Linked DNA regions of Nothobranchius furzeri. The protein of the gene in region 3 purifies or fractionates together with the protein of the main gene of each other region. This does not show direct contact. Links are inferred from orthologs where the notes say so. Each region holds a gene or a part of one and is shown on either strand. Other genes may lie near its edges. The genes, in order: hmg20a, h2ax and phf14.

What was found.
Region 1: the proteins of phf14 (region 3) and hmg20a purify together in Homo sapiens (affinity purification with mass spectrometry; 3 studies listed by BioGRID and IntAct, counting the BioPlex papers as one, with this or other methods). This does not show direct contact. The link is inferred for Nothobranchius furzeri from reciprocal best matches to the Homo sapiens genes PHF14 and HMG20A.
Region 2: the proteins of phf14 (region 3) and h2ax purify together in Homo sapiens (affinity purification with mass spectrometry; 3 studies listed by BioGRID and IntAct, counting the BioPlex papers as one, with this or other methods). This does not show direct contact. The link is inferred for Nothobranchius furzeri from reciprocal best matches to the Homo sapiens genes PHF14 and H2AX.

Annotation. Positions count from the first base shown.
Region 1 is NC_091754.1:44,442,422-44,446,776, reverse strand, and holds the start of hmg20a (high mobility group protein 20A), read right to left. Parts: upstream 2,942-4,355; 5' UTR 2,821-2,941; intron 2,742-2,820; 5' UTR 2,628-2,741; intron 1-2,627. UniProt on the Homo sapiens protein: Plays a role in neuronal differentiation as chromatin-associated protein. Acts as inhibitor of HMG20B. Overcomes the repressive effects of the neuronal silencer REST and induces the activation of neuronal-specific genes.
Region 2 is NC_091750.1:47,427,450-47,430,459, reverse strand, and holds h2ax (histone H2AX), read right to left. Parts: upstream 1,489-3,010; 5' UTR 1,466-1,488; coding exon 959-1,465; 3' UTR 537-958; downstream 1-536. UniProt on the Homo sapiens protein: Variant histone H2A which replaces conventional H2A in a subset of nucleosomes. Nucleosomes wrap and compact DNA into chromatin, limiting DNA accessibility to the cellular machineries which require DNA as a template.
Region 3 is NC_091751.1:23,896,938-23,901,136, reverse strand, and holds the start of phf14 (PHD finger protein 14), read right to left. Parts: upstream 2,844-4,199; 5' UTR 2,644-2,843; coding exon 2,643-2,643; intron 1,282-2,642; coding exon 1,171-1,281; intron 1,033-1,170; coding exon 290-1,032; intron 1-289. UniProt on the Homo sapiens protein: Histone-binding protein. Binds preferentially to unmodified histone H3 but can also bind to a lesser extent to histone H3 trimethylated at 'Lys-9' (H3K9me3) as well as to histone H3 monomethylated at 'Lys-27' (H3K27ac) and trimethylated at 'Lys-27' (H3K27me3).

The DNA.
Region 1 (4,355 bases), on a different chromosome or scaffold from region 3:
ACTGCAGTCTAAATGAAAACTAATGATGGCGGTTTCGACCACGCCAGTCACGTACTTTGAGATTGATTAGCTTGTAAAAGTTCGTAACTAGCATGACTACATCGGCACGTCGCATATGTGACGCTACCGGCTGCTACGTACCACATGACCAGACTTATGGCGGTTCTTTCCTCCTGAGGAAAAGATTCGAAGTTTTCTGAACTTACAGCCATTCTCCCCATTTTCCCCGTGTCTGGTTCAATGACGTCACTGTGGTGAAGCGCATTTGTAGTCCTGGACTTATTTTCACACAAAAGCTAAAATAACGTTCCCCCCGTTTGAGAATAAGCACGTTCTTGGTATCAAGATGTGTCTTCATCATAAATCATATGTGAAATCCATGGAACAGAACAAGAGGCATTTTTGCATTTGTTTTGTTCCTCTGGGGACCCGTGGTCTGGTAGGGCGTGGCTAAGGCTCCCTGTTGTTTGTGTAAAAGTTCTTCAGTACAAGGTTTAATGACAACTATCCAAAGAGGCAGAATTTGCATTCTGAACCATTTAAACATGGTCCAAAGGGAGACCTGCATCAAACAGCCACACCTGCCATGGAAAGTCAAACCAGTAACAGGGTAAATAACAGCACAGACGCTACATCTCATGTCATTACCAAGTTTTTGCTCTTTGTAAACGTGTGACCTGCAGGTTTATAACACTTTATACACCCAGCCATCCCATCATGCAACACGCTACAGCACCCGACGCGTCGTCTGACAAAGACTGGTAATTACATTAACTGATGCTGTAAATAAATAGGTCTTAAACAGATAGAAATAAGTTGCTGATGCTGATAGATAATAATGCATCTCTCCGAGGGACTCGTAGCTGCTGTACTTAGTTGTTTTTATTGATCTTTATTTATATAAATACACTGTCCAACTCTTGCGGTCAGTATTTGTCAGATATTTTTACCAGGTTGGGTCTGTATTAGTACGCTTCCATGAGTTAAACCCCAGCCTAAACCCTGTGGGTCATAAACTATGAGCAAGTGTACTGGCTCTTTTATGCTCGGAGGTCTTTTTGAGGATCTTGTTTTTTTCTTATTTATTTTTTCCTCTGGTTGGGCCCTGTGCTGTTTTATGAAAGAACAAATAAATTGATATTGATTTAAAAATCGTATCAATCGAGATCTAAATTTCAGTCAAAACAATGGTGATCATCATTTTTGCCATAATGGAGCAGCCCTTTGTGACACCTGAAGGACCTGACACCAGAAATAGGATTTGCTCCTCATCCAAACTGCTCCCAACAGAAATGTCACTGAGTCGTTTACTTTTGTTATCAGCAGGAATGATGTCACGGTTCTCCTCTCAACTAGAAACTATGTGGATGTAAAGACAAACAACTGAGAGAGCTAACCAGCTACCAGCACTGAACTCTCCTTTAGCTCAGCCGCTACACGCAGGACCACCTCAGGTAAAACCGTGTTCTAGCCTTTGACCTCTTCTGTTAAACTCACACACTGCCTACTGAGAATTCAGCTCTTTCACCAATACCATCAGTGGTGCTTGACATGCACCCCTGAAGGTTTCCAGACGTCCCCTAAAACTATGCAGCAGCGCCTCCTGATGGAGCTGAGCTCACAACGATGTCGAATCTGGACTAAAAAAGCTCCAGTTCCCATTTAGACACAGTGAAGAGTCAAATACTCCAAATGCACACTTCTAGTTGAGCTGGCCACAAGAACACATCTTCCAGCCCTGAGATCTGAGGAAACCCGATAAAGTTGTTTTATTTAACCAGGAAAGACTCTTGTGAGTACAAGTGTCGTTTACGAGGATGCACTGCAATTTAAGATGCAAATGTGTGCTAATGTGGTTCTGCATACAACACGGGGTGTTTGTAGGCAATAATACTTTGTGTAGATAACCATAATGATATAAGAGCATCTGCGGCATCAGTGAAAAACCAGAAAACTTTCCTCACAATTTAACTCTGAAAAACCCAGGTAACATTTTAAAATCACATTTTCCTCAAAAAGTTGAATAAAAATAACACAATCATTTAAAAAATAGATCCGATGTACACACTTTAAACAAAATCCTATCATTTTAACGTTGTTAAAAAGCACAGTACAGACAAAACGAACTATTATGGGAAAAATGAGATATTTAAACATTTTTTGTTTATTGTTTCGCCTGTAACAAATTTATTAAATTAAGGCTTGCATTAATGTTAGTGACCGATGTGATCGGAATCACACTTAGGTATGTAAAGTGGGCAGTAATGCTACTAAACACTGTTGTCATTTAAACACAAATAGAAACAAATACAAGGACTGCTAACAGTTAGCGTCATGTAGCACTTAACGCTACGGCTAACTAACGCAACAAATTGTCAAAATGGGCTATTTCCTTGTTTGTTTCACTTTAATCAAATATCAAACACATTAAATTATATTCAACTGAAGCTATAATCTCGTAAAGTAAACGTAAAACCGTTAAGCTAGTAGTGCTCCTAGCCAGACCAGCTAGCATTAGCGTTAGCTCCACCAGGTCTAGTCTTGAAGGTGCAGACATAAAGGTGCAGCTTTAATACAGAAAGAAACACTCACTTATGTATTTTAACGCATTAAATGCAGATACTGACCTTGTTTATCGCGACCCGTGGCTGTTCCTGCTCATTTATTTCCCAATCAAAACAATACAACAACAACGCGATAGAGCTCTAACAGATAGCGAAGCTGTTGGGTCGTGGTTCCGCCTGAGTAAGCAAATAAAGGGTCACATCACGCAGTTAAACACAAACAAATAAATAATTAGGATGTGCAAGAAAATCACACCTTATGGAATTAAAGAACGAGAGCCACAAAATATGTTGATAGGGATTCGTCGCTGAAAAGCTGGTCTATACTTTCTAGCTCTGTGCTCTCTCGCTCTTTGTGTATTTTTACTCAGAAGACTAACCAGGCTCTGCTGCCCTCTAGCGGTGGCGCTGCTCCATTACAGTGATGGAATCATTCAGCCCCCCGAGAATGGCGAACTTCATTAATTAAACTAAGGAAGCAAGCAGCAGCTAATGGCTTGTGAATGTAATTAAACAGATGAGATGGAGAATAGTTTATTTTGTTATGGATTTTATGCAAAAAGCAGGAAAAATACAAACTCAACTCTGCCCAGTTTTGTGTGGGTTTCAATAATCCATCCAAACTGAGAATGTTTCCCACACTGGAAGCCAAAGAAAGAGTAATACATTAATTCGAGTTTAACAGCTGAGATAACTCCAGCAGCATTCTAATTGAAATTTTGATTAGAGCCTTATTCCAATTACCCAGAGTTATTCCACACAGGTTGGACACATCCATCCACTCACTGGGTAATACAATCACAAAGAAAACAGAAGTGTATTGACATCTTAAATGTAACCAGGTTGCTTTCAGACATGAGCGATCTAACTCTATAAATAATAAATGAAGTTGAGCTATTGTTGGAATTGAAGCTCGGGTGGTGATCGACTCATTTCTGAACGACTGTGTTAGAAAACAAACTAAGAATTCTCACAAGAGCCTCATAAATAGGGTGAAACTGAAAGGATTCTGGTGTAAACATAAAAAAGCTGGTCCTGATAGGAAATGAAAGATGCTGGAGGCTGATTTCGTTCACCCACAGGAAAACAAATGCAGGAGCAGGTACACAAATGAGTCTGATTACTTGTGGTTGAAAGAAAAGAGCATCTGCCAGCCATGAGATCGTCTCCACAAGCACACGGTTTACATCCTGTCAGTGCAGAAAGCGTCATGAATCAGTGAAAAGCCTCTCTGCTGTGTAGAATCATGTTTGTCGCTAACTGGCTGATTGTGAACACAATAGTGATTCAGGCCAACTGTTTTGCTCCCAGCAGAAACATGGTTGGCATTGTTTAGAGTATGTTTTAAGATTAAAGCATCAGTGCATTGTGCCTCCGCAGACAGTTTGTTGAGCCAGGTTCAATCGGCTGTCAGCCTCCTCAGATCCCAGCATGCCTGTAGGGCCCATCATCACAGCTGTCCCACTGACCTTGCATCCACCCGCTGCGCCGTGCTTCATCATCTCCTCCATGCTTCAGAAGCTTCCTGTCTGTCTGCAGGCTGGCTGGCCCGGAGACCGACGACATCGACACAAACGTGTGATCCAGCCCTCCTCCAGGGTGTGAGGGTGGTGCACGGCATGCTGGTGTGAAAAACCGGGTCAAAGCTTCAGCTATCTTCAGCCATCATCCTTGATCTGGACCTTCTTCATTCTTCCATCCACCTTGTCCTGATCAGAACCACAGCATGACGTTCATGTGTTGTCCCTCCATCTCTCCCGTAACACTTTGCGTTGTGAGCAGCTGGTTTGG
Region 2 (3,010 bases), on a different chromosome or scaffold from region 3:
CTTGCTGTCAGAGAATGCTGCTGTTGTGTCCACGGGCAAGACGACTAACCCACCTTGTCTGGTGGTGGTCGGAGGAACCAGTGTACAACAGGCCTCGCCTCTGCCAGTGTTCCCTAGGGCAGCTGTAGCTACACCGGATCTCCATCACCACCAGCGTGAATGTGCGTGCATGGGTGAATGACTGTGTGTGTGTGTGTGTGTGTGTGTGTGGGGGGGGTTGGGGTAAAAGGGCTATACAAATACAGGCAATTTACTACTTTGCAAGTACTATTATTTTTTCTGCAGGGATTCTGAAGTTAGTTTTTATCGGACTGCTCATCACCCCTCAGTCCAGTAAGTTGAGTCAGTGGTACAGGGACAAGAACTGAAAAACGTGTAAAAGAAACCACAGAGGAAGCCATGAATGTTAACACTATCTGCTCGCGTGTTTTTCTCCATGTGCAATAAGGAAACACCTGGAGCTGCTTGAATAGACAGCCGTTAGTACATTTCATTTGAGACTTCACCACCACACAAACACGTTTCCAGGTGACAGATGTTGTCTTGCAGAACTTTTAATGAAACCGTTTTGTTGTGAACAGGCGTTTCACATGATGAAAACATACAGCAGCCCTGAGAACCTGAGTGCAATGCATAACAAATGTTTAGTTGCCAGTGTGTGCAGCTAGCATTGGATCTGGTCAGTTGCAGAAGAGTTGCTACTTTAAATAACATTCAAGGATGAAAAATAAACTCAGGATGAAGATTTTCAAGTGACATTTCAGGCTAACTGGGGAAATTTAGCCTAATCTTGTTTCTTAGCAAAGGATCTAGCCTGAAAGAAATTACCTTAACACAAGCCTTCAATAACCCAAACAAAATATGCTTTGAGCGACATTGATAAACTAGAAAAGTTGCCCTTTCGGTCGGTGGTTGGCCCTTAAAAGGGCCTTTGGGTTCATTGTGGTTAGCCGTGAAGCTAATACTCCTGAGACTGAGAGGACGCCTTCTTTCCCGCCTTGCCGGAGCTGGGTGCTGCCTGGCCGGCCTTCTTGGGCAGGAGGACGGCCTGGATGTTAGGCAACACGCCTCCCTGAGCGATGGTCACGCCACCGAGCAGTTTGTTCAGCTCCTCGTCGTTACGGACAGCCAGCTGAAGGTGGCGAGGAATGATTCGGGTCTTCTTGTTGTCCCGAGCGGCGTTGCCAGCCAGCTCCAGGATCTCGGCGGTGAGATACTCGAGGACCGCAGCCAGGTAAACAGGAGCTCCGGCGCCCACTCTCTCAGCATAGTTTCCCTTGCGGAGGAGACGGTGAACACGGCCCACAGGGAACTGCAGACCGGCGCGGGAGCTGCGGGTCTTCGCCTTGGCGCGGGCCTTAGCACCGGTTTTACCTCTTCCAGACATTGTTGAAGATCTCTTCCACGAATATGATTTCAATGCAGAAAATCGCAAAGTAGAAAGAAAAAAGGCTCGCCGAGCCATATATAAGCCTCCACGTTAGTCCCGCCCCAAACTACTATTGGATGCTAGAGAGAGAAGCTCTCATTTGTTTGGCTTTAGGAGATCAAACGTTCCAGGAAGCCAGTAACTATTGGTTTGGCTGCTCTGGCTCTACACCAATCATCGAGGAGTCTGACCAATAGACAAAGGTAATTGGTTGTTTATTTGTTCACCCAGTTTCACGCGGGTCACGTGTCAGAAGGAAGACCAATAGACGGTCTTCCCTCCAGCTTTAAACGTTTTGGCGCGTTACCGAACGAAAAGTGAACATTTCAAGCGATTTAATGAGTATTGATACAGTAAAGTATTGAATAATGTTGTCAGGGTTTTTGACCAAGATCGAAATGTGGTGACACATGTATCACAATTATACATGAGGACAATTTATTAAAATGCGCAAAATGTGCTTGAAGTAAGCTTACACTGCACAAACTGTGTGAGGGAGGGCCAGCAAGACATGGAAAATTCCACCATCCTCCCCCACTGAGACGAAGCTAATCCTAGGCAGCTCAGCAAATAACCATTTTACTGGTAAAAATATATACCTTTTACAAAAACAAGACCATATTAACTAAGTGCACAATCAACATTAGGGTTGAAAAATAATTTATTTGCAATAAATTACATTTTCAAAATATAACTGGGGCCTCACATCTTGAATTTTACAGCCACTTTTTCAAATTACATTCACATATCACTACATGTATATGTATGTGTGCTTTCAGGCAGGAGAGTGGTTTTGATCTGTTCTGCATTTTTAATTAGTTTGACAGTATTGTCCATACAGTACTGGCTTAATGTTTGGCATGTCCATTTGATAATATTTAATCAGATTAAATATTTATTTAAAAACACAGTAATTGAATAATTGATTTTGGTTGTTATGAGGTCCCAAAATTATTGCAGTTATTTCAAATGAGGTTTTTATAAGAGAAAAAAAATCATATGTACAGTTTTACAATTGGTTCTGATTGCTGCAGCAATTATCATTTTGTGTGTCTAGTTGTTAATATTTTTTTTCCAGCCCTGAGAGCAGTTCCACGTATAAAAAACTCTTAAACTTGGTTCTAATTGCCTGAGCTGAACCCTGACAGTCCAAGTGGATTGAATTAAATATGTTTATGACAATAATTCTCCTAAATACAACATTTTGCTGTTTGTGTAATATAAATTAATCAAATGTGTGACTGTTTGTTGTAAAATATGTTTTCTTAGTGAAGCACTGAGCTGCTGCAACTCAGCTATACCTGATCATTGTAAATCGTTTACCGACATGTTTATTTTTAAAGTTGATAGTCTTTCTTTATTTTTATTTTTTATTTTTTACAGATTAAGCTTATTGCCCAGCACGAGATGCCTGCTGACTGAACTATCAAAATCAAACCATAGTTATGATATTCCACAGAAAATAATTATCACACAAAATTACGATAAATACACCATCTTCTCTGCTTTTTATGCGATTAAACATGAATTTTAAAAGTAATTTTTAAGTAATCACAAATAAACAACACATTTTAACAGAGA
Region 3 (4,199 bases):
GGCGCATGAGGCGGACACACACACACACACACACACACACACACACACACAAGCAAAATATACTTGTTTTCAATTGCATTTATTGGGCCCACTTACTTTTTCTTTGGCCCACCCACAAATGAGTTGCTGGCTACATTAATGGTGACATATGACAGACTTCTCTGAGCTCCGCAGCCATTACACTTTTCACCTCGCGCACCCCCTAGCGGCAGCTCTCGCACACCACACTTAGGGAATCCCTGATCTAGAACCTTCTCAGACTTTGTGAGGTGTGGCTGTGTGCTCTCACCTCATTCCCCTTTCCTTGGGACATGCTGTCATTGGTCAGGTCATCATCAAAAGCACTGCTGGTCTTCACCTTCTTCTTGGACTTCTTCACCTCTTTCTCACTATCACTACTACTGTTGTTGTTGTCATCACCATCTTCCTTGTCATCGTTGTTGTCATCATCGTCATCGTCGTCGTCGTCATCATCATCATCATTGTCATCGTCCTCATCGTCGTCGTTGTCGTCACTGGCACTGCCTCCTTCTTCCTCCTCTGTGCCGCCTTTCTGAGCAGCTGCTTTTCCTTTCTTCTTCTCTGCCGTAGGCCTCCAGTCGTTATCGTCTTCACTGTCATAGTCGTCCATCTCATTCAGCTCCTCCATGGTTGTAAAGTCCAAAAGGGGACGGTTCCTTCTGAAATTCCATTTCTTGGGCTCAGTCGGCGACTCCTCTGCATTCCCACTGCCAGCTCCGGATGCTGAGGTAGATTCAGGTTCACCAGCTTCAGCGGGGCTGGGTTCCGCCACCTTCTTGCTCGTCCTTCTACGTTTGGACTGGGTGACAGAGGGTGTGTCTTTGGTGGAGCTATCTGAGGATGGTTTGACCTTCTCCTCATCCTCAGTTAGGTTGTCTTCAGCAGCCAGGTCTTTGGCCCCCTCCTCCTGACCATCATCAACAGAAGCAGCATTGTCCGATTCATTTTCTGAGCCTGCAGCACTGACCTTAGAGCCCTCCTCATCACTGCCATTGCCGGTACCATCAGACCCTATCAGAACATAGAACACAAATGGGTTTGAAACACTTCCTTTAGTGTTGGTCTGTTGTTCCCACAGGTAGAAACAGAGACCACCAGCCTTGTGAACAAGACACAACTCTTGCTTTGCAAAGTTTGGTTAGGGTTTACCTGATGCATCTCCAACTTCAAAGTCACTGTCATCAGAACTGTCATAGTCCAAGGCATCAAGGAGAGAGGCAGCAAGTGGCTTCACCTGCCGTCTCTTCAAGCTACGGTCCACTAACAGAAAAAAACAAGTTTGAGTAGGCTGTCGTGAGCACGCTGGGACATTTAGATGCAGCAGTTCACAACAGAACCTTCTTAAACTACCCAAAAACAATTTATTACAAAAGGATCATAATTTTATGTAAAAATTCTAGCAACACTTGTTCAAAACTATTTTAAATGAAAGTCCATCCATGTCAGAATTTTTTAGACGTAGGTCATCTTTTGAATAGAAATTATGGCATTGTCTTCCTTTTGGTTAAGTCACAGATTCAGTTAGCATTCTGACTGAGTTGGAGAGTGATTTCCACTCTGTACCACAGAAAGTCACAAAGATTTTAAATGTAGAAAAACGTTTTTTCCAACTGTCTTTCCTCACTGTATCAAAAATGATCCAAACCTTGACATGAAAACTAAAGTATTTCCCGAGCCAGGATTTTAGGTGTCCAGTTACGACCCCATTCACGTATTACGGAGTTTCATCAAATTCCATCAATGTCTTCTGCTTTTTTTTTTTTTTTTTTTTTTTTTGCAAATGAACAAAGATAAAAGGTCCTGGTCGAAGAGGCCCATGTCCAGTGTGGTACACACCCTGATACCAAACAGCACTGTGATAACCGTGCCTTTAGACACGCAGACTGACTGATAACCAGAATAACCTGACCTGTTTGCTTTATTAATTTATGGTGACCCGAAATTTTAAAGCAACGTCTGGTTTTCATCACCCTTTTTTTTAATTATTATTATTCAGTACTTTTGTTAGCTACAAATCACTTCTTATCAGGTTTTACTGTCGATAAAGGATCTGAACTTCTGCACATTAAGTTAGTAAGTACATGTAAGTACTTTACTTACTTACATTAGCTGTCCCCACAGCGTCCCCGATTAGCCACTAGCACACCGCTAGAAATCTGAATGGGATTACATAAATGCTAAGCACCAGCTGCTCTGCCCTAAATGTAACCACACAGCCCTAAGTATCCGTGTTCAGCACCACACCATCAACAAAGCATCAGTTACAGTCTTAGCCAGTCGCATAGATTCTTGTTCTCTAAGGTAGCTAACTGTTGTTAGCGCTAGCTAAACTGATTCACAAAAAACTGCGGGGCAGTTTTATTAACAATTAAACCACTTCAAGCAGACCCGTGTATGATAACAGAGCCTTACATGATAGGATGGGGTTACATCACCGGTGAAAGAAACGTATAAAGGTAGACTTTAAACTACATGCTAACACCAAACGCTAATCAAAAGGCTAACACTGCTTTCAACTTCTAACATTAACTTTAGCTTGCTAGCTAGTTAAAACAACGCTTTGTATAAACAACGTGATCGAAATAAGAAGAATGTAAACTCGAAATGAAACAAAAACTCACTGTGAACTCGTTTATTTACAGGACGAGTGAGAACCAAAACAGCATGTTACATCTGGACAATAAGAGCACGGTGGTGACTTAGTTACGTCTGGATGTTGTTTCTATGGAGACAGTAAACCCGATACATCATGGGCCATTTATGCAGCCAACAGACAGATCACTGCAGCACAGATGTACTGATCCAAAGCTTTTGCTCAAGTTTATTTACTTTTTGTTTGTTTTTTTAAACCTAGAAACGTTTAAAGTGAAGTGACCCGGAAGTATTTATTTGTTGAACTCATTTTTTTTCACAAAAACTTTATTAAACAGATTGCAGGTAAAACAACAAATGAAGAATATTACATTTACATCAACAAACAACCAGGAGTGTTCATATATATACAAATGTATGCCCACGTTCAAACATATGCTGTTATTTTGTTAAATTTGCATGTATGAATATAAAACTCTCATCAGTTCAGATAAAAGGATAAACTATGACCAGATTTTTTTAGCAGTTCAAGAATAGAGCAGATGTTATCCAATTACCACAAAATGTTGGCAAGAATTGATGTTTCATTCAATAACGTAAAAAATTAAGTAATATTCAACAGTATAGTGTAAAATAAAAAGATGGATTTTCACTCTGCAGTTCTACTATTTATTTATGCAAATCTCAATTGGGTATGAACTAAACTGTGTGATTCAAACCTGCAAATAATTGTGTGACGGAATAGTCGTTACTTTTCTCATTAAAGCCCAATAAAAACCACTTAGGCACTGAAGCTCATTTTCCTATCTGTGGCAACTCAAAGGGGCCACTTTGGTAATGATGTATTTTATATCTGATACAAACACAGACCCACTGTCAGCAGGTGAGGGGTGACACCTGGTCAGGTCACAGTCCATGAGGCCAACACAAGATCTGTCAGGCTTTTCAAATCCTAGCATTTCACCATCTAAAAGTGTGCATTCACTTGTTATTCCAGCACATTTGCTGTGGTCTCTAGTATATAGTCAACCTCTGTAGAAAAAAGCTCTGGCGTTCCTGTTTCAGGAAGTAGAAGTTAGCTGTGGGTGCAGAAAACAGCAGGATTTGGAATCATTATTCTTCCTGATGTTTGGACATCTTGCATCGGATTGGCAATGCAACTCTAACACTAGGCATGTTTCCATTACCAGAACTCCAGGGTAGTTCCTGGGATGGGGAACTTGACCAGGAGATAGGATGTCCAGGTCTTCTCAGCTGTTGTGTCTCTATTGAAATCCAGCCCTTTTTTTTTTTTTTTTTTTTTTTTTTACCGTGTCCTGTCTGGCTGTGAAGCAAGCAGAATTGATGTCTGAATGCTGGTGACAAGCCTTACAGATTTATTCTCAGGTGGAGCATCAAAGCATTTGCTTTTAATGTCACGCCTGATACTTAAAACTTTATTGTTATTGTTGTTGAATGCTTTGTAATTCCGACCAGACACGGAGACAGAGGTGAAAGAGAGAGGAAAAGAAAAGGTGGGGAGAGAGAGAGAGAGAGGGGGGGGGGGTTTCCACAAAAATAAACAATAATGAACAAGAGTCTGCTTC